2 linked regions of the Rhinolophus ferrumequinum genome follow. The protein of the gene in region 1 purifies or fractionates together with the protein of each later gene. This does not show direct contact. Links are inferred from orthologs where the notes say so. Each region holds a gene or a part of one and is shown on either strand. Other genes may lie near its edges.

What was found.
Region 2: the proteins of CABIN1 (region 1) and UBN1 purify together in Homo sapiens (affinity purification with western blotting; 6 studies listed by BioGRID, with this or other methods). This does not show direct contact. The link is inferred for Rhinolophus ferrumequinum from reciprocal best matches to the Homo sapiens genes CABIN1 and UBN1.

Annotation. Positions count from the first base shown.
Region 1 is NC_046308.1:22,508,587-22,523,659, reverse strand, and holds the start of CABIN1 (calcineurin-binding protein cabin-1), read left to right. Parts: upstream 1-7,032; 5' UTR 7,033-7,473; intron 7,474-15,073. Other genes in the region: glutathione S-transferase theta-3, read left to right, coding at 534-710, 1,038-1,232; DDT (D-dopachrome decarboxylase), read left to right, coding at 3,705-3,812, 4,167-4,342, 4,793-4,865. UniProt on the Homo sapiens protein: May be required for replication-independent chromatin assembly. May serve as a negative regulator of T-cell receptor (TCR) signaling via inhibition of calcineurin. Inhibition of activated calcineurin is dependent on both PKC and calcium signals.
Region 2 is NW_022680357.1:5,956,842-5,972,799, reverse strand, and holds the start of UBN1 (ubinuclein-1), read right to left. Parts: upstream 6,676-15,958; 5' UTR 6,614-6,675; intron 3,245-6,613; 5' UTR 3,206-3,244; coding exon 2,957-3,205; intron 1-2,956. Other genes in the region: GLYR1 (cytokine-like nuclear factor N-PAC), read left to right, coding at 8,770-8,807, 9,835-9,871, 10,813-10,892. UniProt on the Homo sapiens protein: Acts as a novel regulator of senescence. Involved in the formation of senescence-associated heterochromatin foci (SAHF), which represses expression of proliferation-promoting genes. Binds to proliferation-promoting genes.

The sequences.
Region 1 (15,073 bases):
AGGAGAGAGTGTAGACTTGCTCCTCAACGTGTGATCCATGGACCAGGAATGACAGCATCGCCTGGCAGCTCAGTGGAGATGCAGGCTCAGGCTCCGCCCAAGCATGTTGATTAAGAATGCGCACTTGAATTGAATCACATCCCAGACGGATTCGCAGGCACATTCCCATTTGAGAAGTCTGGGTGGGGTAGGGAGTGGGGATAGGATGGCAGCTGCACTGGTGAGAGCCTGGTGGTGAGGTCTTTGTGGGGAGGGCAGTGGGAGCCATGGAAGGCTTCATACAGGGAGAAGATATGGGCAGACGGAGACTGCAGAAGGATTCCGCTGGCTGCCATGTGTGAGGACCCAGGGAGAGGTGGAGGCTGTCCCTCCATGAGTAGGAGATGAGGCCTGGGCAGGTGGTGGCCGTGGGTGGAAAGGAGTGGGCAGCAGTGAGAAGAAATCCAAAGGACTGGTGATCGATTAGATGAGAACAGAACCAGATTGGGCTTTGGGCTGAACCTCAGCCCTCTCCCTGCCTGCCCACCCACCAGATGATGTTCCCTGTGTTCCTGGGTGAACGGGTGCCCCCTGAGACATTGGCATCTACTCTGGCTGAGCTGGACAGCTGCCTGCAGCTGCTTGAGGACAAGTTCTTGAAGGACCAGGACTTCCTTACGGGGCCCCATATCTCAGTGGCTGATTTGGTGGCTATCACAGAACTGATGCATGTGAGTACTGTGGGGTGGGGTGACCCACCGGGAAGTGGGGTGTCCTGGGAGGGAGCCAATGTACCATCTCATGTCTCCCTTTGTGGCTGTGGGACCCTGGATAAGTCTCTCCGCTGAGACTCAGTGTCCTCACCTGTAAAATGGGACTTCAGAGCCCCACCCTGCAGGGATATTGAGGAGCTTCTCAGTGTCTCCTGGGAGAGGACCCTCAGCTTATCAAATGTGGGGCAGAGGAGGGAAAATCCACCTGATAGATTCCTAAACCAGGTCATGCTACCTTGTGCTTAACCATGCCCAGCCCTACCACCTGGCTCCCTCTTCCGATAGCCCGTCAGTGCCGGCTGCCAAATCTTCAAAAGCCGACCCAAACTGGCCGCCTGGTACAAGCGTGTGGAGGCCGCAGTGGGGGAGGACCTCTTCCAGGAGGCCCATGCAGTTGTCATGAAGGCCAAAGACCTGCCCCCAGCAGACACTGCCATGAAGGAGATGCTAAAGCCCTTGGTGCAGGTTTTGTTGCGGTGATTAGGGGTGGGGCCTCTGCAGATCACCAAATGGAAACTGTTGTCAGAATAAAGAGATGGAGCTGCCTCTCTCCTAGGCCATGAGCAAGACACTCTGCACAGTCTCTGGTCCCCAGTTACTCCATGCAGCAAGCCTGCATTCCTTTTGTTTGTCTTCTCACTCTACTCCTGCCCTTTCCACTTCAACTTCCATGTGACCTCTGGACAGAGCTTTAGTAAACATGTATTTGACCCTATCTGTCCTCTTGAAACTTTCCGTCTTGCCTCACTGCCCTGAGGCTATAGTACAGGTCATTGAACTTTGCATCCAGGCAAAGCTCCCACCCCTCCAGGCTGCCCTCTTCTGGTTGCACCCATCACTTTCCAGCACCCCTCCCCGCCCCAACACACCCCAGCTTTCTCCTCAACCTCCTGGGCTTGGCTCATGCTGATTCCTTTGCTTACAGGGCCCCTCTTTACCTTCTTTGCCTGCTTTATCCCCCCACCCTCCATCTTTTGGCACTTGTCACTCTGCACTAGTGCTTCCCTCCCTCTGTCCTGGCAGGAAGCTGGTTCTCTGCCCCCTGGGCTGAGCAGGTGTCACAGATGGGGGTGACACTGTGAAGAGATGTTTGAGTTAGGAATGGCCTCCGTCTCTTGGGTCTCTGGAGTGACACTGTCTCCGAGTGGGGTTCAGGTTGGTGCATGAAACTTCTTGCAGTCAGGGAAGGTCCAGGTTATTTCCTGGCCCTCCAGGTGTTGCTGAGAAGCCTTGCTCTCCTAGGCCTACTTGTAACCTTGACCACTGTCGTCTCCATGCCCCATTCTGGGTTCTAGATTTTCCACCTGTCCTTGCTCTTTCCCTTCAGGACTGTCACAACCTACCTGTCTTGTGTACCAGATTCTCTGATATCTGAGTCATCCAATAAACTGGTAATGGGACAGGGTCATGAACAGACAGAGCCTCTTGGCCTACCTGCCTTCCCATGGAAGCTATTTAGTATGCACACTTACAAGATCTGACAATTAAGTTCATGAACTGGTTGCAATGATGTTGCTAACCTTTTTTGATATCAGAGGGATTATTCATTATGAATTTGTACCGACTGGACAGTTAAACCATGTTTACTATTTGGAAGTCCTGAAAAGGCTGCGTGAAAAAGTTAGATGACCTGAACTTTTCACCAACAATTCATGGCTCTTGCATCACGACAATGCACCACTCACATGGCACTGTCTGTGAGGGAGTTTTTAGCCAGTAAACAAATAACTGTATTGGAACACCCTTCCTACTCACCTCATCTGGCTACCAATGACTTCTTTCTTTATCCAAAGATAAAGGAAATATTGAAAGGAAGGCATTTTGATGACATTAAGGACATCAAGGATAATACTATGACAGTTCTGATGGCCATTTCAGAAAAAGAGTTCCAAAACTGCTTTGAAGGGTGGACTAGGAGCTGGCATCAGTGCATATCTTCCCAAGGGGAGTACTTCGAAGGTAACAATAGTGATATTCAGCAATGAGGTATGTAGCACTTTTTCTAGGATGAGTTGGTAAACTTAATTGACCGTGTAGAATTTTAGATGTGTAATTGAAATTGTCCATATACACCCACATAGTTTCAATTATATTTTCATTTACAAATCAGACAACTTCAAAACACTGATGAGAGTACCATGGTTAGTCATAACAAAAGATTTCCACGTTTTAAATAACACCTTTTGTTTTGCTTATGAAAATATAGGGTGCCATAAATATTGCTGATAATTGGACTGGGGACCTGGCTCCTGCCCTCTGGTGGACAGTTTCTCACTCTGAGGCAAGGTTGCTACAGGCAGAAGACAACACAAAGGATGATGTCTGATGTCCGCGGGGTCCAGGCAGGGATGCAGTAAACCGAGGATCTTTGCCCAGCCCCACGTGTCACACACTCGTGCTACCAGGTCTCCTGATCAAGAGAAGCACACGTTTTTATACTGAACCTGAAGTGGTGGCAACTCATTCAAAAAAATTTTAATTCTCTGACGATGTAACGTTATTAAGGTAGATCCTAGGGAGGGCCCCTACAGGTGTGTTTGCGTGTGAAGGGGGCGCTTTTCAGACCTCCATCTAAATTTGGGACAGGCAGCAGGAGACTACCACTTTGGAAAGCCACAGGAGACGGAAAACGTCGGACAGTGTGGCTGGATCGGAGGCGGGGCTGGTGCGGCCAGGGCTCAGCCAATGTCTCGTTAGGGGGTGGGGTTACACCGGGCTGGCGGGGCATTAGGACTTCCGGAAATCTGTGCCAGAGCACACGAAGGTTGTCTGCAGCGGTTGAGGGGTGCAGCCTAGGCAGCCAGTCAGTAGGTGCTGTGTGCCTGCACAGCCAATGAGGAGCTCGGTTTCCGCGGCGCCCCGCCCTTTTCCTTAATACCGGTCTTGGGAACACCGACCTGGTCTCCGCGGGTTTTTCCTCCGCTGCGGCACCTTAGCCATCTTTCCGCCGACATGCCGTTCGTTGAGCTGGACACGAACTTGCCTGCTGGCCGCGTGCCCGCGGGGCTGGAGAAGAGGCTCTGCGCGGCCACCGCCGCCATCCTGGCCAAACCCGAGGACGTGAGCGTGGGCCGGGGAGCACGCGGCTGGGGGAGGTTGATGGACCAGGGGTCCGGCTCTGTCCACGCCCCTACTTAACTACCAAGACCCCGACTCCTCCCAAGGGCCCCCGCCCACCACCCGCCAAACTGACCTTCCGCTCTCTATGATCTCTCAGTCCCACCCCCACCCCCACCCCCACCCGCTCGGTATTGCCTTCCCTAGCCATGACTCTGACGTGCCCTCCAAGGACCCCAGTCCATGCCCCTAACCCTGACCCTGCGGGGTCCGCGCGTCTTCGATCCCACGCTTTTGGGCCCTGAGCGTGAGCCTGGCCTGCATCAGCTTCTGGTGAAACTTTCGTGTCCCCTGCAGCGCGTGAACGTGACCGTGCGTCCTGGCCTGGCCATGGCGGTAAACGGCTCGGCCGAGCCTTGCGCACAGCTTCTTGTCTCCTCCATCGGTGTGGTGGGCACAGCGGAGGAGAACCGCGGCCACAGCGCCCGCTTCTTCGAGTTCCTCACCAAGGAGCTGAAACTGGACCAGGACCGGTGCGTAGAGGCAGGGAGAGGACACTCGAGGGATTTCTGCACGACCGGGGGCAGTGATCCTGTCTCAGGGTCCCTTCTAAGGTTGGGGCAAAAAGTAAATTCTTCACCTTGCCCAAGAAAGCTCTAGTGCCCTGGAGTCCCTTGACCCCTGAGGCCCCCTAGTGGTGGGTCCACCTTCAGACTGCTAGCAGAATTGAATGCAGTCCTGGCTATGTTGAGTGTGGTCCTGGGTGGGCCACGCTGCTGTACGGACACCATCCAGCCCCTGACATGCCTGCTGCCCTGTTGGGGGTTCTGGGGAAAACATTAATGGGGTGAGGCAGACTTGCAAAATGCCTGGTGGGCTAAGGCAGGCTGGTCTGGGAGCCCATGGTGGGAGTGCCTAGCCTATGAGTCTTGGAATGAGTCATTAGCCAAGGAGCTGATGACATCTTTTTCTGTCTCCTGAAGGATAGTTATCCGCTTTTTCCCCCTGGAGGCCTGGCAGATTGGCAAGAAGGGGACGGTCATGACCTTTTTGTGATTGGCACGGAGGATATCCAGGGCATCTGAGAGTTGGCCACCTCGTCCCGAGAGGCCTGCCTGGCAGAGTGAGGGCGTGGTGGATTCCAGTTTCTGGTACCCCCACATGCAGACAGGCCTGTGATCTCACAGTCCTCTTCTTCCCCATCCTCATGCCAAATAAATGAAAAGAGCTTTGTCTTTCAAACATGACTTCTTTATCTCCCTTTACCCCTCCAACGCATGCTGGGCTACCCTGGGGAGCAGGGTTGGTTTATGAGGTGGGGACCTTAGGGAACCTGGGAGGTGGGATGTTTCCTAACTTCAGGGCTGCTCTTTCATGTATCGTATTCAGGCTGCTCAAATCAGAGGGTGGAGGGCTCATGCTGAAGGCCCTGCTCTCCATTCCCATGTGCAGGCTTCTGGGGAGACGCTGACAGCCTGGGCTTTCCTGCAGACTCTGCTGACCAGATGTTGCTGTCCTCGGCCTGGGCAGTTCCCTGCCCATAGACTGCTTTGCCTGGCAGGGAAGCCAGGCGGGTTGGGCTTCAGGGACCTTCCCTGGCATTACCAAGCTCCATCTTCTCCCATGAGTCTTGTTGAGAATTCTCTAGCTATGTGAAACCCATGCCCCAGAATGGCAAACCTAGAAATGCAGTGTCTGCCACTGGAAACTGAATGAAAGGGATCTCCCTCCCCCATCGAAATACCATATCGTGCTTTCACATATCAGAGGATAAACATTGTATGGGCACTGTGTTTCACCCTTGTCTTTGGTGTACCAGTGAAATACCAAATTGAGATTTTTTTCAGTCTCATTTAAGTTAGTTTCCAATGGAAGGTGCCTCTGCCTGCTGTGTTTGGACCAGACCACTGCTGAGAACTCTCATTAAAAGCTAGGGCTTGGAGTTCCTTCCCCTGGCAACCTGTCCCAACTGTTTCTGCATTTATTCCTTCTGCCAACATGGGAGTCCTGCTTCCCTGAGGGGCTCCGAGAATGTGGGTTGAATGTGAATGAATAGTTAACGTGGCTAAAGAGGCACCTTTGACAGGACTATAAGGTAATAGCCTTCTAGCTGGTCTCTCCACCTTAAATCTATTACCACTCTGATGAGAATGATGTCATCGGTTGGCTGTGGGGACTGGCCCCTCCAGCATTATCTCTCCCCACTCTGACCCTGAGCTTTACACCCTGGTGACACGATGCTGCCTCCAGCCCCTGGGTAGCCTGCACTTTTTCTCACGTCCAAACCCTTGCCACACATCTTTCAAGGTACAACCTAGGAGTGGGACCTGCATCCAAGCCTGCATGTTATCCATGAAACTTTAAAATCATTTGTTTATGCTTTTGTTCACTGTCCCTGGCCCCCCAAGGCTATACTGTCAAAATCAAGGTTGATGACTCAATTATTTTGTAGTTTCTGGCATATCAGTGAAGCTTTATTGTATGGAGCTGACTCTATGAGTGCTTCACAGTGATTTTACCGTCGTTAAGGTCAAAGAGAAAGCTATAACATTCATTGCTATGTAAGCCATTCTTGCTGGACTCAAGTAGCTATGCATTTCAACCAGTGTGAAGCCCTTCTCTATAACTATTAGCTCCCAAGAGAGTAACCTCTCTCAGCCCGAGACCTTGTCAGAAACCCTTCAGAGTTGGGCTCTGGAATTCTGTCTCTCCAGCTCATTCATTTACCAGGTCTTGGTTTCTTTTCCCCTTTGTTTCAATAGTTGATGGTTATCTGTGCCTTTCGGGCTTCAAATCCTTATCAGAAAGAGGTGAGGCAAGGAATGTGAAGGGGAAGGGTCGTAACCGTTTCCCTCGTGTTTCCCAAGTTTCCGTTGCTTTCAGAGCACCTGCCTCCGGTTGTACCAACAACACGGCCCGTCATTTAGCGACCGTTCGGGGCCAGGCCCCGAGCTCGGCGCTTTCCAAGTAGTACAAGTGGTGGAGCCGAAAGTCCGATCGCAAGCTGGCGCTCCGAGCCACAACGACACAAGGAACGAAGCCTACACTCCGGAAAAGTCGCAACCCTACACCAGGCTGCTCCGGACCGCGTCGGACGCCTTCCGCAGGGTTTTTGGTAGCCGGCCAGCAGGAGAACGGCGCGTGCGCCCTCACTGATTGGCTGGCGGAGCCGGCACCGGAGCCAATGGGAGTGCTCCTTGTTGTTAGGCGCGCAGCCGGCTGGTGCGGGGGTCGGGGCGGACGGGCTGTTGCCGGGGAGACGCCTGGTGAATTCCCGGGCAACGGGTTTGGGAGAGGTCTTCGGTGTGGGGGCAGGTCTCTGCTAAGCCTAAGGCGGCAGCGGGGTCGCGGGCCTGAGGCCCTGCGGGCGCAGGGTCGAGGCTACTGTGGACGCAGGGGGTTTCTGGGTAGCTCCTGTGCTACAGTAGGGGAAACCGAGGCCGGAGAGCGGGAGCAACGAGGCCAGGCTTCCCGGCTGCCCCGCAGGCCTCTTCACGGCTTTTGCCGCCGCCCTGGGGTACCTAGGACCGGCTCCGGCCTCGTGAGTGGTTTACAGTGACAACAACTGGAGCTACCATTGATTCGGCGTTTGCCGGTGCGAAGCCCGGCGTAACCCTTGACTCGCGCGCGTCCTTTCACTTCACCTTCACTGCAGCCCTGCGAGGTGAGTGCTGTTATCAGCGTCATGTACAGGAATGGAAACTGAGGTCGAGAGAAGGTGAAGTGACTTGGCCAAAGTCCCCCAGCAAACCAGTGGGTCAGCCCGACTCCAGACTGAAAAATCTTAACTGCACTGTTTCCCTGGTGCAGCCTGGCCGGGCTAGATAGAGTTGACACTCGCAGTTGTCTGCACAAGTGGCTTTGTGGGAGCCACGTAATTCTTTGGGACCAGTGTTACTAGAGGTCGTAACCATGGGGCACTGGGATTCCGTGCGGCGAAAGGTTCCTTCTGTGTGTGATTAATAACTAGTTAGAACTAAAATATCCTTAGAGTGGTCTCGTTTGGAGTTGGCAAACTTTTGTTGTAAATATAAAAATATTTCTATCTGTCTATATAGATTTGCCTGTGGACATTTCATATAAAGGGGATCATACAATATGTGGTTTGTGACTGCTTTCTTAGTGTACTGTTTTCATGGTTTAATCCATGTTGTCAGTATTTTTATGGCTGAATAATATTCCATTGTATGGGTATACCACATTTTATTTATTCATCAGTTGATGGACATTTGATTTGTTTCCACTTTATGGTTTTTATGAATAATGCTGCTATGAGCATACCTTCATTTTAATTTTAGTAGTATATTGCTTCATTGTGTGCATGTACCATAATTTATTCATCCACTCTACTATCTATAGCCATTTAGGTTTTTCCCAATATCTTGCAATTACAAACAATGCTGCAGTGAATAACCCTGTGCATACGTATTTTCCTGTTGTTGGAGGTAAATCTTCAGGGTAGATTTCTGAGAAGTGGAAATGCTGGGCAATTGCATATGTAATTTTGCCTGTCGTCGAATTTCCCTGCGGAAGGGGTTGTACCAAGCTGCATTCCCATCCACAATGTATAACAATAGTTCCTGTTTCCCCACAACCTCACCAACAGAGTGTGCTGTGGTACTTTCATTTTTGCCAGTGATAGGTGACAAATGGTGTTTCAGTGCTGTTTTCATTTGCATTTCTCTAATTATAAGTGAGTTTGAACATATTTTCATATGTTTGAGAGCCAGTGTGTGTCTTTTTTGGTAAATTGCTCGTATGTTTTCCCCATTTTTCTATCAGGTTTTTCTTTTTCTGCCCTCAGGGTTTTTTTTTTTTTTTTTTTTTTTTTAAATTCTGGTAAAATACACTTTACATGAAATGTACCATTTAAGCTATATTTACATTAATGTACCTTTCCATGGCACTAAGTACATCCACATTGTTGGCAGCCATCCCCACCATTCATCTCCAGAACTTTTTCTCATTTTCCCAAACTAAAACTCTGTACCCATTAAACAATAACTCTCCATTCTTCCCTCTCCCAGTCCTTGGCAACCACCATTCTACTTTCTGTCTCTGGATTTGCCTATACTAGGTGTCTCATATAAATGGAATCATATAGTATTTGTCCTTTTGTGTCTGACTTGTTTCACTTCGCATAATGTGTTCAAGGTTCATCCGTGTTGTAGCATGTGTTGAAATGTCTTTCTTTTTTAAGGCTGAATAATATTCCATTGTATATACACACCACATTTTGTTTATCCATTCATCTGTCAAAGGACACTTGGATTGCTTCCATATTTTGGCTATTGTGAATAATGCTGTGTCCCTCAGTTTTTAAGAGCTCTTTATATATTAGGAATATTAGTTCTTTGTGGTGTATGTTGCCAATATTTTCTTCCAACATATCAGTTGTCTTTTGACTCCTTTTGGATTTTTAAGAAAAATTTTTAAATTTTCCAGTTTTATTGAGATATAATTGACATATAGCAAGCACTGTATAAGTTTAAGGTGTCTAGCATAGTTATTTGACTTACATATATTGTGAAATGATTATCACAATAAACTTAGTTAACATGCATCATATATAGATTCAAAAAACTACTTTCCTTGTGATGAGAAGTCTTAGGATCTACTCTTTTAGTGACTTTCAAATATACCATACAACAGTGTTAGCTGTAGTTATCATGTTGTACATTAATTACACCCCTAGTACGTATTTATCTTACAACTAGAAGTTTGTATCTTTTGACTACCTTCGTCCAATTTCTTCTCTCCCATTCCCATCTCTGGTAACCACAAATCTGATCTCTTTTTCTATGAGTTTTTTTTTTTTTTTCGTTTTTGTTTTTGTTGGTTTCACGTATAAGTGAGATCATACAGTATTTGTGTTTCTCTGTCTGACTTATTTCACTTAGGATAATGTCCTCAAGGTTCATCCATGTTGTTGCAAATGCCAGGATTTATTTTTTATGGCTAAATAATATTCCATTGTATATCTGTACTTTGTCCATTCATCTGTTGATGGACACTTTGGTCTTGGCTGTTATAGGTAATGCTGCTACGAACCTGGGGGCACAGATATCTCTTCGATACAGTGTTTTTGTTTCCTTAGGATATATTCCAAGTAGAGGAATAGTTGGTTTATATGATCTGTTTTTAATTTTCTGAGGAACCTCCATACTGTGTTCCATTGTAGCTGTACCAATTTACAATCCCACCAACAGTGACAAGCATTCCCTTTTCTCCACATTCTTGCCAGCACTTGTTATCGCTTGTCTTTTTGATGCTAGCTATTCTAATAGGCGTGAGGTGATACCACATTGTGGTTTTGATTTGCATTTCTCTAAAGATTAGTGATGTTGAGTACCTTTTTAATGTCATTTACATATTTTGGTCATTCACATATTTTCTTTGGTAAAATGTGGATTCACGTTCTTTGTCCATTTTTAATTGGATTATTTTTTTTTGGTTATTGAGTTTGTATGATTTGCTTATTGATTTTGGATAGTAAACCTTATCAGATAAATGGTTTGAGGATATTTTTTCCCCGTTTTATAGATTGTCTTTTCATTTTGTTGTTCATTTCTTTTGCTGTGCAGAAGCTTTTTAGTTTGATGTAGTCCCACTGGTTTATTTTTGTTTTTGTGTGTGATTTTTTTTTCCTGTCATGCAAAATTTAAAACATTTTTAATGTAGTTAAGTTTGTCAATCCTTTCTTTTACTGCCTCTGGATTTTAAATCATAGTGAGAAAGCCTTTCGCTATACAATAAAGAGGAATTCAACCATGTTTTCGGCTAGTACTTGTATGGTTTCATCTTTTTCATTTCGATCCTTACTCCACTTGGAGATTATTTATGTATATGGTCTGAGGTATCAATCTAATTTTATCATTTCCAAATGGCTACCAATTTGTCCCAGCAACGCTTGTTACAAAGTTCATCTTGACCTCAGTGATTTGAGATGCCACCTTTGCCATATTTTAAATTTCCATATGTACTCGGGTCTAATTCTAGACGTGCTTTCTTTATGTACGTACCAGTTCCACTGTTTTAATTATTAAGGCTTTATATAGTATGCCTTAATGTCTGGTAGGACTCATCCCTTCTTGGAACTTTTCTTTTCCACTGTTTTCCTAGCTATGCTTACATTTTTGTTTTTCCGTATAAACTGTAGTGTCAGCTTATCTGGTATCTTGGTATTTTTACTGGAATTGCATTGAATTTATAAATTAATGTAGGGAGAACTGACATCTTTATAATGTTGAGTTCTGTCCAAGAACAGAGGATGTGTTTCCATTTGTTCAAGTTTACTTTTGTGTCTTTTGGTAGTGTTTTAAAATTTTCTATGCATAGGTTCCACATTTCTTGTTCACTTTATTAACTTTATTCTTAAGTATTTAATCATCTTGTTGCTATAGCGAATGGAATTTTTTCTTTACCATAATGTCTTCTGTTTGAGTATGTGAAGGCTATTGATTTTTGTATGTTAATTTTATATCATGCTACTTCATTGAGTTCGTTTAGTATTAAGTTTTATCATTGATTTTGGGGTTTTATATTATCTGCATTTAATAATAGTTTTACTTCTTCTTTACCCATTCTATACTTCTAATTGGTTTTCCTTTTTTAATTGCATTTTGAATACTCCTAATACAGTGGTATATAGTAGCAGACGTAATGGGTATCCTTGCTTTGTTCCTGTTGTTAATGGAAATGCCTGTAGCGTTTCTCCATTATATAAGATTTTGACTTTAGAACTAAGATCTATCATCTATCTATCTATCTATCTATCTATCTATCTATCTATCTATCTATCTATCTAATCTATCTAATTATGTTAAGAAACTATCTCTCAATTCCTGTATTCTTGTGTGTGTGTGTGTTCTTTTTCCTCATGAATGAATGTTGAATTTTGTCAAAGGCTTTCTCTTCTATGGAGGTAATCATATGATTTTTCTCCCTTAGATGATGTCATTGTATTTCACACATGCGATATGTGTGTTTTCATTGTTAGCATTTCTTTAAATTTCTCCAATGTTAGTTGCATTTCCTTTCACCCAGAAGTTGTTTAATAGGAGGTTCTTAATATTTTGGCTAGAAGGACCAAATTGTTGTTGGTAATGGTGGTGTTAGTAAATTTTAGTTTTAATGTATTGTGACCTGAGAGTGTTGTTTTTAGTATTTTTACTTTATAGAAGGTGTTTTCTTTGTGACCTAATATATGATCTTTTTTGTTGTTGCTATTTTGGTGAATGTGCTGTGAGCACTGGAAAGGAATATGTAGTCTCCATTATCAGGGTGTAGAATTTGATAAGCACCTATAAGAGCTCCTCTATTCACTTTATTGTTTAGATCTTCTATCTTCTAACTTTTTTCTCCACTTGATCTGCCTTGTACTGAGAGTGATGAATGAAAGTCTCTTATTATTAGTTTGTATTTATGCATCTCCTGTGGTTTTTGCTTTTTAAAGTGGGTTGCTGTGTTATTTGGTGTATGTTTTTAAGTGTTATATCATCAATGTGAATTGTACCTTTTGTCACAGTTAATATATTTGGACTTGAATTGTACTTTGTCTGATATCCAGATTGCTCCCCTGCACTTTTAAAAAAAAGTATTTATTTTTGTTAAAATATTTTTATATTTATTACATTTAATTCAATAAGTTAAATTTTTATTTGACCTCTTATTTTGGGAATGTACAGCTCTCTGACTTTTTAGCACATTTATAGAAGTGTGTAACCTTCACTACATGAGGATACAAAACAGTTCCATCACCCTCAAAATGTACCCCTTTATAGACACCCTTCTCTTACCACTGGCTGGCAGTGACATGGTCTTCGTTACTATAGTTTTGTCTTTTCAGGAATGTCATGTAAATGGAATCACACAATATGCAACCTGTGGATACTGGCTTCTTTCACTCAGCATAATGCATTTGAGATTCATCCAAGTATCATTTGTGTCTTTTAATTTGTAGTAGCGTTCCATTGTATAAGTAGTATTCTTACTGAGCAGTATTCCGTTGTATGCTCTATCACAGCAGTTTGTCCATTCACATATTGTAGGATGTTTGGGTTGTTTCCAGTTTTTGGTGATTTGAATGTAGCTGCTAGAAATATTTATGTACAGGTTTTGTGTCAACATTTCTCAAGGTAAATAGGAGTGAGATTGCTGTGTCGTGTGGTAAGTGTGTGTTTAACTTTATAAGAAATTGTTTTCCAGCATGGCTGTATACCATTTTCCATTTCTGTCAATGGTGTATGAAAGCTCTTGTTGCTCTGTGTCCTCACTGGGACTTGGCATTATCAGGTTTTCAAAAAATTTGGCCATTCTAGTAGGTGTGTAGTAGTAGCTCATCATGATTTTAATTCATATTTCTTTCATGACTAATGATGTGGAACATCTTTGAATGTACTTATTTGCAATCTGTCTTCTTTGGTGATGAATCTTTTAAAGTCTTTTGCTCATTCTTTAATTGGTATTTTTAAAAATTATGTAACATAATTATGTAACATAAAATTTACCATTTCAACCATTGAGGATCAGACGTTTTTTCCCCCTTTTTTTTAAGGAGGGCGCAGCCTACAGTTGTCCCTATGGGGATCGAACTGGCAACCTTGGTGTTATCAGCACCACGCTCTAACAAACTGAGTTAACAGGCCACCCCCATTTCAACCATTGAAAATGTACAATTCAGTAGCATTAAATAAATTCAGAATGTTGCATAACCATCACCAGTATCTGCTTCCAGAAGAATTTTCATCATCTCAAACAGAAACTGTACCCCTTAGGCAATAACTCCAGAGTCCTCTCTTCTCCCAGCTCCTAGCAACCATCATTATACTTTCTGTCTCTGTGAATTTGCCTGTTGTTAAGTACCTAACATAAATGGAATCATACAGTATTTGTCCTTTTGTGACTTGTTTATTTCACTTAGTATAATATCCTGCAGGTTCATCCATGTTGTAGCATGTGTCAGAATGTCCTTCCTTTTTAAGGCTGAATAATATTCCATTGTATGAATATACCATATTTTATTTATCCACTTACCCATCTATGGACACTTGGGTTGCTTCCATCTTTGACTATTGTGAATAGTGCTGCCGTGAGCATGGGTGTACAAATATCTCTGAGTCCCTATTTTCATTTCTTCCAGGTATGTCCCTAGGAGTGGAATTGCTGGATCATATGGCAATTCTATGTTTAACTTTTTGAGAACCACCAAGCTGTTTTCCACAGTGGCTGTGCCATTTTACATTCCCATCAGCAAGTATACCAGGGTTCTAGTTTCTCTACTTCCTTGCCAACACTTATTATTTTCCTTTTTTTTTTTTTTTTTTTTGATAATAGCCATCCTAGTAGGTATGAAGTGTTATCTCTTGGTTTTGATTTGCATGTCCCACTGACTAATAATGTTGAGCATCTTTCTTGTACTTATAAGCATTTGTATTATCTTTGGAGAAATGTCTTTGGAAGTCCTTTGTCCATTTTTTAATTGAGTTGTCATTGTTGAGTTGTAGGAGTTCTTTATGTATTTTGGATATTAATCTCTTATCAGATATATGATTTACAAATATTTTCTTTTATTCTGCGGATTGCCTTCTCTTGATAGTATCCTTTGCATAAAAATTTTTAATTTTCATGAAGTCCAATTTATTTTTTCTTTTGTTGGCTGTGCTTTTTGTGTCATTCTTAAGAAACCACTGCCAAATCCAAGATCCTAAAGATTTTCCCCTGTTTTCTAAGAATTGCTTTTTTCTTGCTGCTTTCAAGATTCTCTCTTTGTCTTTGGGTTTCAGTAGTTGGACAATAATATGTCTTAGTGTGGATCTATTTGGAGTTTGTTGAGCTTCTTGGATGTGTATGTTCATCTTTCTATTGGATTTGAGAAAATTTTTGCTATTATTTTTCAAATAAATTTTCTGCCTCTTTCTCTTCATCTTCTGAGACTCTTATGATGTGTATGTTGGTCCTTTAGATATTGTCTCCCATGTCTCTCAAGCTCTGTTCATTTTTCTTCATTCTTTTTTTCTTTCTGTTCCTTAGACTGTATAATTTCAATTGCCTTATCTTCAAGTTTGCTGATCGTTTCTTCCGCCTGCTCAAAACTGTTGTTGAACCTTTCTAGTGAATTTTTCGGATTTATTTATTTATTAAATATTTTATTTTTTTATTCCCAAAGACTTTTTATAACTATAGCCAATTAATACCAACATATTTCACTTCTAGTAGTCTTGTATTTTCCTAATAAAAATATTACCCTCCCCCACTTTTCACAC
Region 2 (15,958 bases), on another chromosome or scaffold:
TTCATGTAATTCAACAAAACTTGATTGAAGACCTACAATTGCCTATTATAGCACTAAGTCCTGTCAGGCTCCAAATATGGCAAAGGGCCTTCAGTCGGGGATGCTCAACCTGTATAGACTTGGGTTTTAATGTAGCTGGTTTCCTTCGTCACCCTAAAACTTATTTTATGCATTTAAAAACATTCTTCTAAGAAAGGCTTCACAAGACTTCCAAAGCAGTCAGTGGCTCAAAAAGGTTAAGAACCCACTGAATGTAGCACAAATTTGTGAAAGCTATTTTGTCTAACTGGTTAGAAGAGTGGTATGAATTTGTTCTTCTCTCAGTGCTACCAAAAATCAAACCCAGGTTCATGGCAGTCCCTTTCCTTGGACACTTATCTTGAAGGATCAGGAATTTCCTCTTTTCTCTGAACCTCAATACTCATTCCAAATATTTTCATGCAGTTTTACAGCTTATTTCTATTCCATAAACTTACTCTTGCATTTTTTCCATGAAGATTTTCCAGAATTGGACCTTGAACTTCTTTGCAAGAAATTTTAATTTTAATAATGAAAGACTCCTGTACTAAACACGCTTAAGACTTCAGAGTAGGCCAAAAACACTAAAGATTAGAGTCTTGTTTGAAAACAAAACTCTCTTATCCCACCCTCTCATCTCTGCCTACTGAAACCCCACTCACCCATTAGGGATCAGTTAAATGATTCAGGGTATAATATATGTAGAATGAGATATTAGAGAACATACATATAATGTACCACAAATGGGTGGTTTTTAAAACATGTGCTTATCTGCATCTTCTAATTTTTCTACAATGATCACATATAACTTTAAGTGGTTCAAATAATTTTAAGAAATCCCACTAATCTGGAGCAGCACTGGATTTGATGTGTACTCCTTAGTGCCTTATAAACAGCAGTATTCCCGTAACTACTACCTCCTGAACGTATGAAGGTCCAGCTCTGTCCAAACACCGTATCTGGGTTATAAGCTCTCCTCTGTCCAAGCTCTCCAGGGCTTGCACTTATATCCGACTTAAACAATTACCACATTGTGACTCCTGTTACTGTGTTGGTATAATTCTCCTAAAACATCTACAAGATTGCAAGTTCCTTTAAGGCTGGGACAGCAGCTTCTCTACCTTTATATAGTCCTCAGCATCTAGCAGTGCCTTCACATCATAAGAAATATATGCTAAATGAATGAATACATGAATGTGTCAGATTACATTGTGCTTTGAACACTACAGAATAAACACATCGATTCAGAAGTTCTCAATCTGAAGGAGTGAATCCCCTGAAACTGAATCCAAAGTTCTCTGTGTGTGCTACATGCATTTTTCTACAATGCGGAAGAACATCTGGAGTCCCCCAAAAAGGTGAAATCGGAGCACGAGAGTTCCAATTTCATTTGGCCTACTGATCTGGTTTGAGCCCCCAAATAAATACCTTAACCAAACCCTGCTACTGTCTCCTCCTCTCAAGGAAGACGATGTTATCCCTACTTTGGAAAAGGGATTATCAATACATTTGAAATTACATTTTCTCATCCTGTCCACTGACATCATACAACAGGTTAACCCTTGGTACAGATTCAGTTGGCTTCCATTCAGCCAACAAGATCTTAATCAAGGAAACACATTTTTATCTGAGCAAAGAAAACTGGATAATCCTTCTAACCAAAGGCACTCTCCTCAAACAGCACAATCATGAATTAGACTAAAGGTGCACTGGCCACCGACACTCCACTACAAACTGTACCTATATGAGCTCATCCACCCTGACAGCCTGTGAGCCAGGTACTAGCCTAACCCTCATTTGACTAAGAGCCATTCTAGAGAATGAAATGCTGTAGTGTGGGACTCAACTAACCTTCCCTCGAAGCCTCGTCTAGTGAACAGGTATACAGTAGGCGCTTATAAATACTCTTCACCTAGCTCCTGCTCATACTGTATGATTCCATCTAAATAAAATACAAGAACATGCAAAACTAATGTAAGCGGTTAGAAATCAGGCCAATTGTTACCCTTCAGGGCAGAGTAGTATTTTGGGAAGGCATGAGGAAAGTTTCTCATGGCCTGGAAAATGTATTTTGTGATCCAGGGTAAAGGTTGCATGAGTGTGCTGAGTTTGTGAAAATCCATCAAGCTGTGCATTTATCATGTGGGCACTTCTTTTATGTATGTAATTCAATAAAAACTTTATACAAATTTTTTAATGTTAATGACTGGCCAAAACATCAGTAATAGTTGAAGCGGGGTGATGGGTATATGGGACTTATTATACTATCCTCTCTACTTTGTGCATGTTTGAGAAGTGCCATACTAAAAATAAAAAGTAATATAAATCTGCCAGGAAAATAAATAGACTATTTAAAAAACATTTGAGAAATCAAACTGATTCTCAAAAGCCCAGAAGACTACAACCTAATTCTTGCCAAAAAAAAAAAAGTAACTTGGAAAAACCCCACAAAAATGGGTTTCTATCCCTCCAGGTAAAGAAACTATCCAGTGTATTACTGTGTTGAGAAGACATGAGCAGTTATGTGTCTTTTCTCATCTACCCTTACACGAGGCAAAGTGAGAGTCCCTTGGAAAAGAAAAATGTCCAGCATGAAATCCAGCACTGGACAGCCACAGACTGTTCACATTTACCTGTAATATTTGTAGCCTTGGTGTAAAAAAAAAATTGTTTCTTTCATTTAATTAACCATAATTCAAATTAGCCTTGGATACACCATACATTTTCTCCAGCATAAATCAGGAGAATGGTTCTAGAAAGAATTTTATCTCTTCATGCCCAGAGGTAAAACCAGCAAACCTGGTGCTTGCTTTGGGCTGGGTGCTGTGATCGTGGGACAGCCAAAGCCTCTCTAGTCTTGTTTCCACCCTCCGGAAGTCCCATTTGCACAGGTGCCTAAGATTACACCTGCAGGGAGTCTGGAGCCACTGGGGGGTACCTTGTCTCCGGGTTGAAGGCCTTTCACCTTCCCGCGTATGTTCTTCACCAGCTCTGGGTAGAAGAACTCTGGGCAGCGTTTGTGATCTGGCTCAAAGAGGGTGAGTGTAATCCGAACAGCTGCTGCAGCAGGCTCAGAGTCCTGATGCTGCTCTGCTCCCCCAACCTCCTCTTTCCGGGATTTCTTCAAAAATGCAGGATTCAGAGAACCTGGTAGAGAGGTGAACTGGACCCTGTGGGGCTCCGACATGGCTACCAACAAGTCTTAGCAGGTGTCACTGCATGGCTTCTGTTAACATTGAAAAGAAGGGCCAGGTCAAACCAAGATGATAAAAATGATCATTTTTCTCGTTCGGTTATACAGATTTAAGTTTAAAAGAATTTCAGTGTCAATAAGAATCCATTGTTCAATTTACCTTGCCATATATACATATATAAATGAAAAGCACCCAAATCCTTTCAGATAATCACTGTTTAGCATACTTCCTTCCAGTCTTTTTCCATATTCACTAAATCCTTGACATTAGAGAACCCATGCTGACAGACCCTTAAAGAATCCTCAAAATTGCACAGAACCCTAGAAAATACTGTTTTTCATTTAATCTATCCAATCGTTTTTATTTTCTAGCTAAGAATTATGACCTCTTTTTTAAGACCTCCTTATTTTCTTCACTAGAAGTTTACTTTCATTCAGGGCCATTCTTCAGAATGACAAAGTTTTCACCAGCTCAGAGTAATGCCTACCCTGGGCATTGTCTTAGGAGTGACGTGGCTAGGGCTCACTTCCTAATGCACCAGCCTCTCACCACGCAAACTTGGGCCTCGACCAAGCGACAAATTATCACATGCCAAAGACCTTCAAAGTTGCTTGGAAATGGTCAGCTTATATTGTAAACTCCAGAATTCCAAGGGTTTACAGAATATAAATATGCGAATATACTACATATACACATGCATATGTATTTTGTGCTTCATGTATGATTTGTGTCCTGCTTTTTGAAACTGACATTCTAGTGTGAATGTCTTAGCAGGTAAAGTCTGCATGAGGTAAAGGTTGCATGAGTGTACTGAGTTTGTGAAAATCCATCATGCTGTGCACTTATCATATGGCTTCAAAAAGGATATTCATTGCATCCTTGTTTGTATAGGAAAAATGATAAAAGCAACCTGAATGTCCAGCATTAAGGAAATGGTTGAAAAAAATTAAGTCTTTTTTGTTCATTTTTAAGGGCTTCTGATATATTGTAGATATATAATATATATTACCTATGTAACATTTGTCATATCTCTTACAAATGCATTTTCTTCATTGTTATTTTCTGTTTAAGTTTGCTCAGAGGTATGATGAAAGAAATTTTAACTTTTTATGCAGTAAACTAGGCTCTTTTCCCTTATAATTTCTCCCATTTCTTTTGTGCCTAAACTGTCCTTCTCCAACCAGGTAATTCGTATGTAAGAATTTACCTAGCCAGTCTTTTATAGATCTAACTTTCACGTTGAATTTACTCTGCTTATAAGGAGAGAGGTAAGGCTCTAACTTGGTTTCTTCCCAGCACCAGTCACTAAATAATTCTTCTTTGCCCTGCTGATTTGGTATATACTATGTATAACGTCTCAGATATCTTAACTCTTTTGCTGTGACATTCGGATGTGTTTTCCTGTGGCTTGCACTATCAACAACAAAGATGTTTTGTATGCCATATTGTGTAACATTTTGTAATAAATTTTTATGTCATCAATGCCATTAGATTCTAATATATCTATACTTATATCTAATTGATACCACTTAGTATGCTTTGAGTGGTTTTTGCTAAAATTAAAGGTAATGATAAATTTATCACCACATAATAAATGTTTAAAATAAAAATGTCATTTATGTACAAAGCAGCTCAAAATGTTATTAAATGCATAAAATAGTCAAAATATCAACTTTTTATTTTTTGTGGATTTTTGACACATTTTGGGGAAAAAAACCTTGAAATCAATTAACACAGTGAGAGTTAAGGTCTATTTCTGAAATCCATCCTATCATATTGATGTAGTAGCTAAACATTCCTTAACCAGTACCATATTGTTTTAAGAAATTTTATGGTATATTTTAACATCTTGATTTTAACATTCATCTTTATTCTTCTTCTTTTAAAATACTTGGCTATTCCAGCCTATTTATTATTTCAGATCAATTTTAGAATCAGTTTGACAAGTTCCCAAAAAACTCACTGCATTTTAACTGTAAATGAATCATAAATATGAATTCAAAAAGATTTATATCATATATTCCCATACATATATAAAGATATTTATATAGTACACGCAATTCTCATTCTTTCCATTGTGACGATAAACTGTGATCTATAATACCAGACAAAGGAGTAAAATATCTAAAAATAGTTAAAATAATGCTAATGAGGCAGCAAAGTGATTAGCAGCAAAACAGGTTGGTGGTGCAAAAGACCATCGGGCATTAAGACGTTGAAAGAAATTCCTCTAAAGGAAACTTTCGAGGCCCCCAGGACATTTGTGATACACTTGGGTTGTGAAAATAAATTTCAGCTAAAGGTTGAAGGCTTGAAAGTTACCCTCATCGATAAGACAGGCAAAGTCTCACTATAAAAAGAGAATCTGCAAGTAACCGATGGGATACAGGAAGGTCATCCTAGAAGTGACAACCAGGTTCCTGCCCCAATCCAGGCAGTAATTTTAAAATATACCCTTATCCTGGCCCAAATTTTACACTTGATCTTAGCCAAAAGGCCAAGAAACGACCTGGCCCAAATTTTAGACATTGTAACTTCAATCCACCTAGATAGTAAAACTGCTTCCCTTAGTTGTTTAAGTGACTTTGCAGGCCTGAGAAGTTATAGATATAATACTAGAGAATCATGTAAGTCAAACCTATAGCCTTTTAGATTTTTAGTCATCGTGATAACTGCTATTGCTTGTTACTAGGCCATTAGAAACGTTTAAGAGATTCAGACATATTAATGTCTGACGTCAGACTTACAATTTTAATTTGAAATCCTTAAGAAAATATAACTAGGTTCAAAAATATTCTTTTAAAAGAATCTTACCATTATACATTTATTAGCCTTACAAAAGCTAAGTCCTTGGAAAGATTTTACTATTTGGTTTATAAGTTCCCTGTTTTAGAAGTTTGAAGTATTAGAGAGAACAAGCATTTAAAACTTCAAATGCAATTTAACACATTTAAGGGAATTTAACTTTGTAATAAAAAGCTTATTGTTTAGGAAAATTTAATCTGTTAAACTGGTGCCTTAATTGAAGCTCTGTCAAAGATGAAGTACTTCTGTTTTTACAAAAACATTCTTAGATTTGTAAATGAAACAAGATTTGTCAGCAAAATTTAAAGCCTTAAGAAAACCTAAGGGGGCGCCCTGATGGCTCAGTTGGTTAGAGCAGGAGCTCTTAACAAGGTTGCCAGTTCAATTCCCACAGAGGAATGGTGAGCTGTGCCCCTGCAACTAAAGATTGAAAACAGCGACTGGACTTGGAGCTGACCTGCGCCCTCCACAACTTGACTGAAGAACAACGACTTGACTTGCAGCTGATGGGCCCTGGAAAAATACAGTTCCCCAATATTAAAAAAAAAAAAAATTATTGAAAAAAAGAAAACCTAAGTATTTAAATACAGGCATACCTCAGAGATACTGCAGGTTCCGTTCCAGACAACCGCAATAAAGCAAGTCGTAATCTTTTTGCTGGTGGAGGGTCTTGCCTTCAATTTGTAAAAAACGCAACATCTGTGAAGGGCAACAAAGTTAAGTGCAATAAAGCGAGGTATGCCTGTACTCACCTTTAAGGAGTTAAACCTTATTCTAAGCACAGTATTCTACAAACAACATCCCTTTTAAAAACCCTCAATTGATATTACCCAAGAAATGCTAGCTTCTTTTTGTATCTCAGATTATTCCCAGGAATGATATATTTTTTTGTTGAACGTCCTCTCAATTACTGTATTTTCAAGCTAATTATTGGTGAAACATAGAAAAACTGAATTTTGTATGCTGAGTTTCTAATTAGTTTCTTTACTGAATTTCAAAATAGGCTTTTTTTCAAAATAGGCTGTCCTATCATCCACAGAAATGAGAATTTTGTCTCCTTTCTGAAAAATGGTGTCTCGTTTTTGTTTCAGGTCTTACTGCATTGGCTAGAACTTACAGGATAATATTAGACAATATATTCTTTGCCATGTTCCTGACTGTAACGGGAATGCCTCTAGGCCAAGTGTGAAGTTAATTTAAAATTCACATTTTTTATCAAGTCATTAAAATAACCCTCAATCCTCAAAATTTAAGAGTTTTAAAATCAGAAACATATGTTGAATTTTATGAAATTATTTCCTGGAATCACAAATGTGCTTTAAATTATCGGTTGGTCTTTGAAACAATTCAAGACGGTAAATGACAGTTCCTAAAACTGACAGTACTTTAGGGAAACTGAATTCCAGTGAAAAACCAGCTGTGGACAAGCCAGTTCGCTAAAACAAAAACAAAAATATCCCACATACAACCAAAGTCTCCGTGTAACAAAACGCCTAAGGGAGATAGATGTGTGTGGACCTGCAATCTTTTCAAGCAGGCGGCGACTCAAGAAAAGTCCAGTCTAAGTTAAGTCAACACTTGACTTAAGAGTCCTTGAGGTCTGTAATTGGGAATGGGACTTTTTGAAAATGTTTATTTTCTAGCAGGAATCTGACGTTTGGGCAGTCTCTGTGAACGGTTCCTAGTTCCTCATTCAACGGCTTGTTTTCACGTATTGAAACTACGCCTGGCATCCGCCTCCCTGTTGTCACAACAACCTGCTCCTAACTTCTCCAAAAGTGTCAAACTACAACTCGGCTTAAGTGAGAGCCCGGTCCCGACAAAGACACGCACCTTTGTCCCCAGCGCGACGCAAGCTACGGCCCCGCGGGCCGCACTTGTCCCCCCGCGACCGTCCTCATGCCGGCCCGGGAGCCCGGGCTGCGGCGCTGCTAGCGGCCGGTCCCGGAGCCATGCCTCCCGGCGGGCGGCCAACCCGCGCCGCGGCCCATGGCTGGGTCCCCGCGGGCCCGGGGGAGCCTCGCTGGCCGTGCCGTCTGCCGGCCCAGGAGGAAGTGGAGAGACTCTGGCTCCACGTCGGCCGATCAACTCGGAACCTCGAGGCGGGCTGCACTGGCGCCCCGGGAGAACTTGAAGCGCGGACACGGGCTCCGGCTCGGAGCCGCTCCCCGGACGCAGCTGGCAAAAAGCGCGCTCTGAAGGACCCGTTCGCCCCCGGGCGCGGCCACGCAGAGCCCGCCGGGCGCGGGACCCCGGGTGCGGGGCCCCGGGCACGGGCGGAGGCTGGCTTCCAGGCCGCGCCGAGGTCCGTCAGGGTAGCTGCCCGCGAGGCGACGCGGCCGGCCCCGGGGCCCGCGCGGGACTAACGGCCGTAACGGAAGCGCCGTGGGGGAGGGGAATGGAGACCAGGGTCCGGAGGCGGGGCGGGTCGCAGGGTCGGCTCCTTTGCGCGCTGGACCGGCCGCACAGCCGCCGTCGCCGCCGCCTCAGATCCCGGGCGCTTCGTTGTCACGAGCCGAAGGGAGGGGAAAGGAGCCGGGAGTCTTTCGGCTCCAGCGCGCGGAGACCGCGGCTCCCGCGTCACGTGCCGCCTAGCCGGCCAATAAGCACCGGCGGGCGTGGCGACGTCAGAGCAGCGGCGTGGCCGATGACAGCCGGCCCCCGTCACGTGGCCGGACTCAACCCAATGGGCGGCGCCGGGGCGACCTGAAGTTCCCGGCGGCCTGTGCGTCGGTGGTGGTTGGGTGGTAAGATGGCGGCTGTGAGTCTGCGGCTCGGCGATTTGGTGTGGTGAGTCCGGGCGTCCGGGGCCAAGCGAGGTGCGACGGGAAACTGCTCCTTTGGGCGCGGGGTTGGCGGACAGCCCCGGAGCTGCCTTTCTGGGCGCTCCAGGCCGCGGAGAGAGGGCGAGACGAGGTGCCGGTGCTGGGAGCGACGCCGGGCGGAAGGGGCAGCCCTGCCCCGGGGGACTGAGGCCGAGGGTGGCCGCGGCGGGCCGGGCTCCGAGGCCGCCCGGGAGAGAGCTGAGCTCCGGACCCGGACGCCGACGGCTACTGTGAGGGGCATTTCTGGAGCCACCCGCGGTGCGGGTTCCTCGGGGTCTTGCTGGGGTTCCCTGTAAAGCGGGGGAGCCCTCAAGGCCATCTCGCCCCGGCAAGCCCGTTAAAACCAGCGTTGCAATGGAACCGAACTCTGCGGGCGGCTTGGCCAAGGGTGTCGAAACCGGACTGATGGCGCTGCCCGGTGAAGAAATGGAGAGGAGACTTCTTCTTTACAACCGAAGGCTTGGCAGTGATCAGTGCCGTTTTGGGTGCCTCTTGTGGTCTTCTTCTGTGTCCCAGACAACCGCCCGAACCAAGACTGACTGTCGCCGCCTCGGTCGAGCTGCGTAGCTTATTTCTCGACCCAGAGGAAGGCTTCCATTAGCATTTGGCAAAGCCAGCTGGTCTCGCGGTGAATTAAACCAGACTTTGTAAGGGGAAGTCTGTGTTTACAGAGCAAACTGGCCCCCACCCCCGTCACGGGGAGGCTCTAGACAAGTGGCTCTTGGCGGTTTTGTTGTTCTGTATCCCTTGTCACCAGAAGAATGTACATACTTTATGCACATAGGTATACAATTTTGCATTCCATTTCTGAGGAGTTTGGGCCTGTTGAGTCCAACTGGGGAAGCCAGATTAAGAACTCCTGTGTGCCAGCTTTTGTTCTGGCACTTGAGGATGCAAGTGGAGATTTAGGAAAATAAATTGCATGTTGAGTGGGTTGAAGAAGATGGACTGGCTTTTCCAGGGCAAGTGCTGACTCTCTGTGTTTTCTCTAGGGGGAAACTCGGCAGGTATCCTCCTTGGCCAGGAAAGGTGAGTCTCTTGCTACTGAACTAAAGGAAGACATCTGAAGTTGGGTTTGAACAGGTGGAGAATGTAAGATGCATTCCCTTCAATTTCTAGCATTGAGTTAAACTGCCTATTTTAAGTAACAGAATTTTTTCTTCTGGAACATCAGTTCATTTAGAAAAGGCAATATAATATAAACCAGATCACTTAATCTTCATTAAATGCTTATTTCTTGAATCAGAGATGGTTTTGTGGAGGTTTTTAACCCTGGAAATCAATTCTAATTTGAATTTAGCTTTACACTTAAATCTAACGAAAGGAGAAGAAAATAAATTCTCCAGGAAGATAGAAATCTAAATGTAGACTAGTGAAAAGTCAAAGTATTTTTGTCCCAACTAAGTTTAAATCTTCTATGTTACCATATGTGCTGCTCCAGTGCATCTTTGCAGAAGTTGGCATTTCAAATTTTGCATGAGGCGATCCGTCATAGCTTTCCAAATGTTCTGTTTTTATATTCTTGCTAGGAGCCCAGGAAATGTCTTTAGACTGTCTCCTTGCAATATGGTATTTTCAGTGCTTCAGTTGCCTTTCCTTGTCACTATTACCTGTCTCAACTCTTCCTTCACAGAAGTATTTTTAAAAGTGTCCTCTACATTTCTTCAGTGATGACAGGGTCACATGGGATGAGGGGATGATATTTGTCTTAGTTTTAACTGCTTTTAAAACAGGGGCATTGCAGTAAAGGAATACCGTATCTACTGAACGATGTGCCACATGTTAGATGTAGAGAACTTTGGAATATTTGTACATCTCCACACATCTCAGTAGAAAAGTGCCAAATTTGGATACATACTAGGCGCTCGGTTTTTTTCTTTTTAAGACATTTCTTTTGTTTTATTTGATTTTTTTTTTCTTACCAACTTAGAATGGTGGGAAAAAACCTTTTTTTCCCTTTTATCCCCCAGATTGTTAATCCACCCAAGGACTTGAAGAAACCTCGTGGAAAGAAGTGCTTCTTTGTGAAGTTTTTTGGAACAGAGGATCAGTGAGTAGTGCTCACCAAGAGTTTCGCTTTCCCTTTGTTTAGGCATTGGCCTGGGTCTGAGCTGCTCTGAGAGTATTCTGTGGACCCTAGTTCAGTCCTACTAGGTAGTCTATAAAATGGCATCATTCTGGCTTCATACCTAAAGAAAAGGTGCTATTCTTACCTTGCAGAAATTGTCCTGGGGCCAATAACAGTGTCAGTCAGGTGAGAACTAGGGCTCACCACCTTCTAAATATAATAATCACATTGAGAGTTTCTCACACCTCTCTTGCCAACTCCATAGGCAGTTCCTCCTATAGGACCAATTTGGTTTCCCATTTAATGGCTGTTTATCAGTGTGGCTCATGCATGAGCTAGACAGTGAAAACTAAAATTTTATTTACCTTAATAAAAGTAATTGTTTAATCTGTTTTCTTTTGGGAAACTAAATGACTTGCTTTAATGTTGTAACATTTAGCTAGCCCTGTCCTAGAGTTGAAATCAGAATCGTTAATATGAGATTCTTTGATAGGCCATATAAGAAATCACAGTGTGGGGAAGAAGGTATTTGCTTGAGATTCTGATGATTTGTTTCGCGTTCCCATCACTACATCAAGTTGATTACCTAGTTCTAGCTAGATGGTTTGATTTCTTTAAGTAGTTGTATTTCTGTTTATGATTCTTACAGGAAAATGTAATTTTGGGTTAGGAAAATGTGACTTTTCTGATAAAGCTAATACCAATAGTTAAAATACACATTCCTAGAAAGTGATATATAATATCCATAGGAAAATCTCATAAACTGTTCTTCACTCACTCAGGAGTTTATGTGTCAGGGTGCTTACTCATCTTGGTTTAGAGTTTGCCTAGCCCCATACAGATGTACTGATATACCCAGGCCCAGTTCTCTGTCACAAGCCAACTTAGCAGCCTTTTGATGGCAGTATCTCAAAGGAGTCACTATCCTGGAGCTGTGAGAGCCAGAGACACTCTGGAAGAGGGAATGTTCTGGTATGCCATGGATTTCACAAGAAAGATTGTCCCGATGCATAAAACAAGTGCTGATTTTGCAACCACACTCCGCATTGCTTGACACCGAAGGGAACTTCAGGAAAGCGAATGTTGTGGTGCCCCGTCTTCCAGGAACTCAGGTGATAAAGACATAAATATTTCAGATGGGATTAAGTGCAGAATGAGTGATGCGGGTAATTTGTTAAAGGGCTCTAGAACAAAGAGGGATCAGTGGAAAACAGCAGGTCAAAAGCTAATGTAAGAGATGGAATTGGAATCAAACTCTGGGGATGGATAGAATTTGGACCAGTAGTGGCATTCCGGGCAGTGGGGATACTATAAGCAGCTGGAACAGCTGGGCGTTGAGTTGGATGTGTGGATAGAGATTCCTTGCTTGGGGTGAAGAATTTGTGCTTAGGAATAAGACAGTATGGTTGGCCTAACTTGTGTACTTCCTCGTTTAGCTAACCAATTCTGAAACAGAAATGGGAACTCATAGAAAGTGGGGCCTTAATCAGATTACAACAGTCCTGAAAGCCATTGTGTTCTAATGATAATTTTTAAAAAGTGCTGAAACGTTAGAAAAATAAACTGGGTCCCTGTGTATAAGAAATAGTGCAGACAGAGAAAATTGGAGTTGAGTGAATATCAGAGCTCAACCAGTCACCCAGATGAAGCCAGTGAAAAGGATGCACTTCCTGAACACAAAAGGAACCTGCTGGTGTTGGGGGTCGTGATGATGTGATTTCTAATTAAAGTGTTTTTGAGGGAATTCATAAGCAAGTGGGTACAGGGCAACTACTAGATATGACGTCTTTAAGCCTTTTTAATTTTCTTGGTAGAGTTCCACGTAAAAGGCTATTTAAACACTAAGTCACTATGCTTATGTTGGCTAGGCAGCTGACGCGCTGAAAGGGAGCAAAGGGTAAGGGTCTACTTCTCTGAAGGGAGAATGGTTCTTACTGATCAGTGTTAAGGCAGTTTTTATTTAGTATCTTTATATTATCTGAAGGTAAAATCTCCAGATTGTTGGGTAGCAGTTACTTTGGGTAAAGATCTCTGGATTTGTACCAGCCTAACATGCATTCAGGTACCACTTCCACCTGCTTTCTTATTTGGGCAAGTTCTTTCACCTTTCTAGGACGTGTATCCTCGTCCACATGTGGGAATAATACTCCTAACTTTGTAGTTACGAAGTAGCGTCACTTACTCATAGTGTGGTTTGGTGTACAGCAGGTGTTCGGCAAACATTAGGTTAGGGTATAGATCTGTTATAAGAGGAAAAAAAGCTGGTAAGCAGGTAGCTTTCAGTAAGGAAAATGTGAGAGAGACACAGACTACCCATGAGAGAGAGAATCTGTGTGTGAAAAGAAAGGCACCTGAGAGTTAGAGGTTCCTAAGGACATCAGCCAAAGCCTTTTGGTCAAAAAGGCTTTGAACACAAAACAATACACTCTTCCCTCTTGTTTTTCTTCTTTTTTCTTTTTTTTACGTCATTCCACCTTTGTGTAAAAACTATAGTGTGCCTCTTCAGGAGCACATGCGCAGTCTAGTCTGTGATCCCAAAGGGGTCTGGTGGAACTAGTCAAGACTGCGAAAGGGGACCAAGTCAGACAAAGGAGTAGGACTCTTTAATGTGAAAAAGCAAAGACCAAAAGAAGCACAATCAGAACTTACGAAATAATGAATGGCCTTAAGGAGAGAAACACTGACTTGTTCATAAATTCTCAGATATTTCGACAAGGAGAAGTGAGTAGAAGAAATAGTTTATGAAACACATTTAAGAGGTGATTTAGACAGGAAATGCAAGTGGACTTTTTAGGGATGAGAACTACTTCGTGAAGGGCAAAGCCATCAGTGGCTGCAGAAAAAGTTGGACTCTACCTCACCTTCAATGCTTGATGTCAGGGAGAGGGCCATGTGCTCTCGGCACATCCTGGGGTGGAGGCACCTCTGGTGACTGGGTCCTGACCTCGGTGGACAGGGTCTGACCCAGGGAGGCTGTTCCTGTATTCCTGAGGAATATAGCATACGGTCAGAGATGTTCAGTTTCAAAACTGACATATTACTTATGCAGAAGGAAAAAAGATGGGCTGTTTTACATTAGGAAGGGCCTTTATTAAAAAGGCTTGTTCCTTAAGATCAATGGTAGTTTCAGTCTTTTAGAAATCTAATGTTTCCTCTCCCTTCCTCTGCCAAAACATCTAACAAATTGTGCTACATCCCACTGTTAGGAAGACAGGACCAGACCTTCCTAACCAGCCTCCCCTGTCAAGGGAAGGACTTAGTAAGATGTCTGGATTCAACTCTACAAGCCTGCATGGCCACAACGGGAATTGCCCAGAGCTGTTTTCTATTTCATGGAAAGACAGAGGGAAATACAACTTCAGCATAACTTTGCCAACTCCACCAGGTGACCACAACCAAAGATTAAGTCTCAGGTGCATGAGGGTCCACTTTGGACAGATGGCTGCCCATCAGGTAGAAACTGAGCTCAGAGTTTAAAAGTTTGGTCAGTGCCGGTGAACGGCAGAATGGAGGAAGTTCATTTAGTTTGCAGGTGCTCAAAACCACCAGAAACAAACCAGAGAATACTGTGGGCAAACAATGGTAGGTGTAGAAACTAAGAGGCAGGAGAGTTGTGGATTTTAAGTCATAAAAGGTCAGCCTGAGGTATTTTTACATCAAGCCAGATAGAAGGTGGGACAGGCTGGGTGTTAGGTGTCTGAGTAGTAAAGTAACTTCTAGAAAAATCTGCTGCTTGTAATTAGAAACATAGCCATTTGCAACCATCTGAGCATGCCTTTCTTTTCACCTGGCATCTGATTGACACTTTCCCCACATCCGCCACCATGTAATCGTTGGAGAATGGAGCCAAGTGGGTAGTGAGGGCCACTGCTCCGGGTATCTGGACTGAGCCACCAGTGTCCCCTCTGCCAGGGCTGGACAGCAGCTATCCTAGAGAGTGCTGAGTGGATTCTCGTCTCCCAGTGCCAGCAGCAGCTCCTGTCCTACAGGTGACTCCCTTGGGGGCTGAGGCAGTGGACTCCAGGAGCAGGTGTCATGCCGGAATTAGAGAAAGGGGTACAGAAAGAAGCAGCTGGCCAGTTTGGCGTAGACAGCGCATCCAGAAAGCCTTTCCAGCATTTGGGAATGTTTTCAAGTTTTGGAAACAAAGTCTTCTATATCATATCTGCAAGTCTTTGTTGATGTCTGCATGATAATCATTGCTTGAAATTAACTGAGAAATGCTTAATTCTTTTTTGTGTGGTTTCTTTTGTTTTTTGATTTGTGGGTTGGTTTGTTTTGGGGGGTGGTGTCTTGATTTATGAATGGCTTAGATTTGGAGCTGTAACACTTAAGGAATACTCAGCCTCTTTCAATGGTTTGTGGTGGGGAGCCTAGAAATGATTTACTAAGTACTACTGACCAATTCCAGGTGGAAAAGTGAGGCCACGTCTTCTGACCCTGTTCTTGTCCTCACCTTTGGACTATGCTCACGTGTGTTCTCTCTCTGTCACCCGTCTCGGTCAGTGTGTACGAAGTCTGAGACACACGTGAGGGTTTTGGAGATTGTTCATAGACTGGTGTCTTGAATAGGATATCTACATGATATATTTTTAATTTAAGGGGAAACAGGTCAGAATTATGGAAGTTTTTGAAAATGTGAGGTTTTTACATTCATTTTGAGTGCAGTGTGTATTCTGAGGGTGGCTAAGTAGAAGATTTATACTCGCAAATGAAAAGAATTGGTAGGAGGTGTATCAGAACACCAAGGTAAGTTTGCTGCTCTTGGCCGTGTTGCAGGTGCAGACACACACCGTCAGCCAAACAGTAGCTACCCACCTGAGCAAACCTTACAAACAAGGCAGTAATGGAGAAAATCCTTTGGGCAGACAGAATAGCCCTCGTTCTACCGCAGAGGCCTTTATTATTGACTTTTTTTTAAGATTATACGTGTTTATGGCACCCCCCGCCCCGCAAAAGAAAAAATCGTTATAAACCGTGAAAGGGTTCCCATTCATCCCTCTCCCTCAGCCACCCAGTTCCTGGCCCACGGTCGTCTAATTATACTA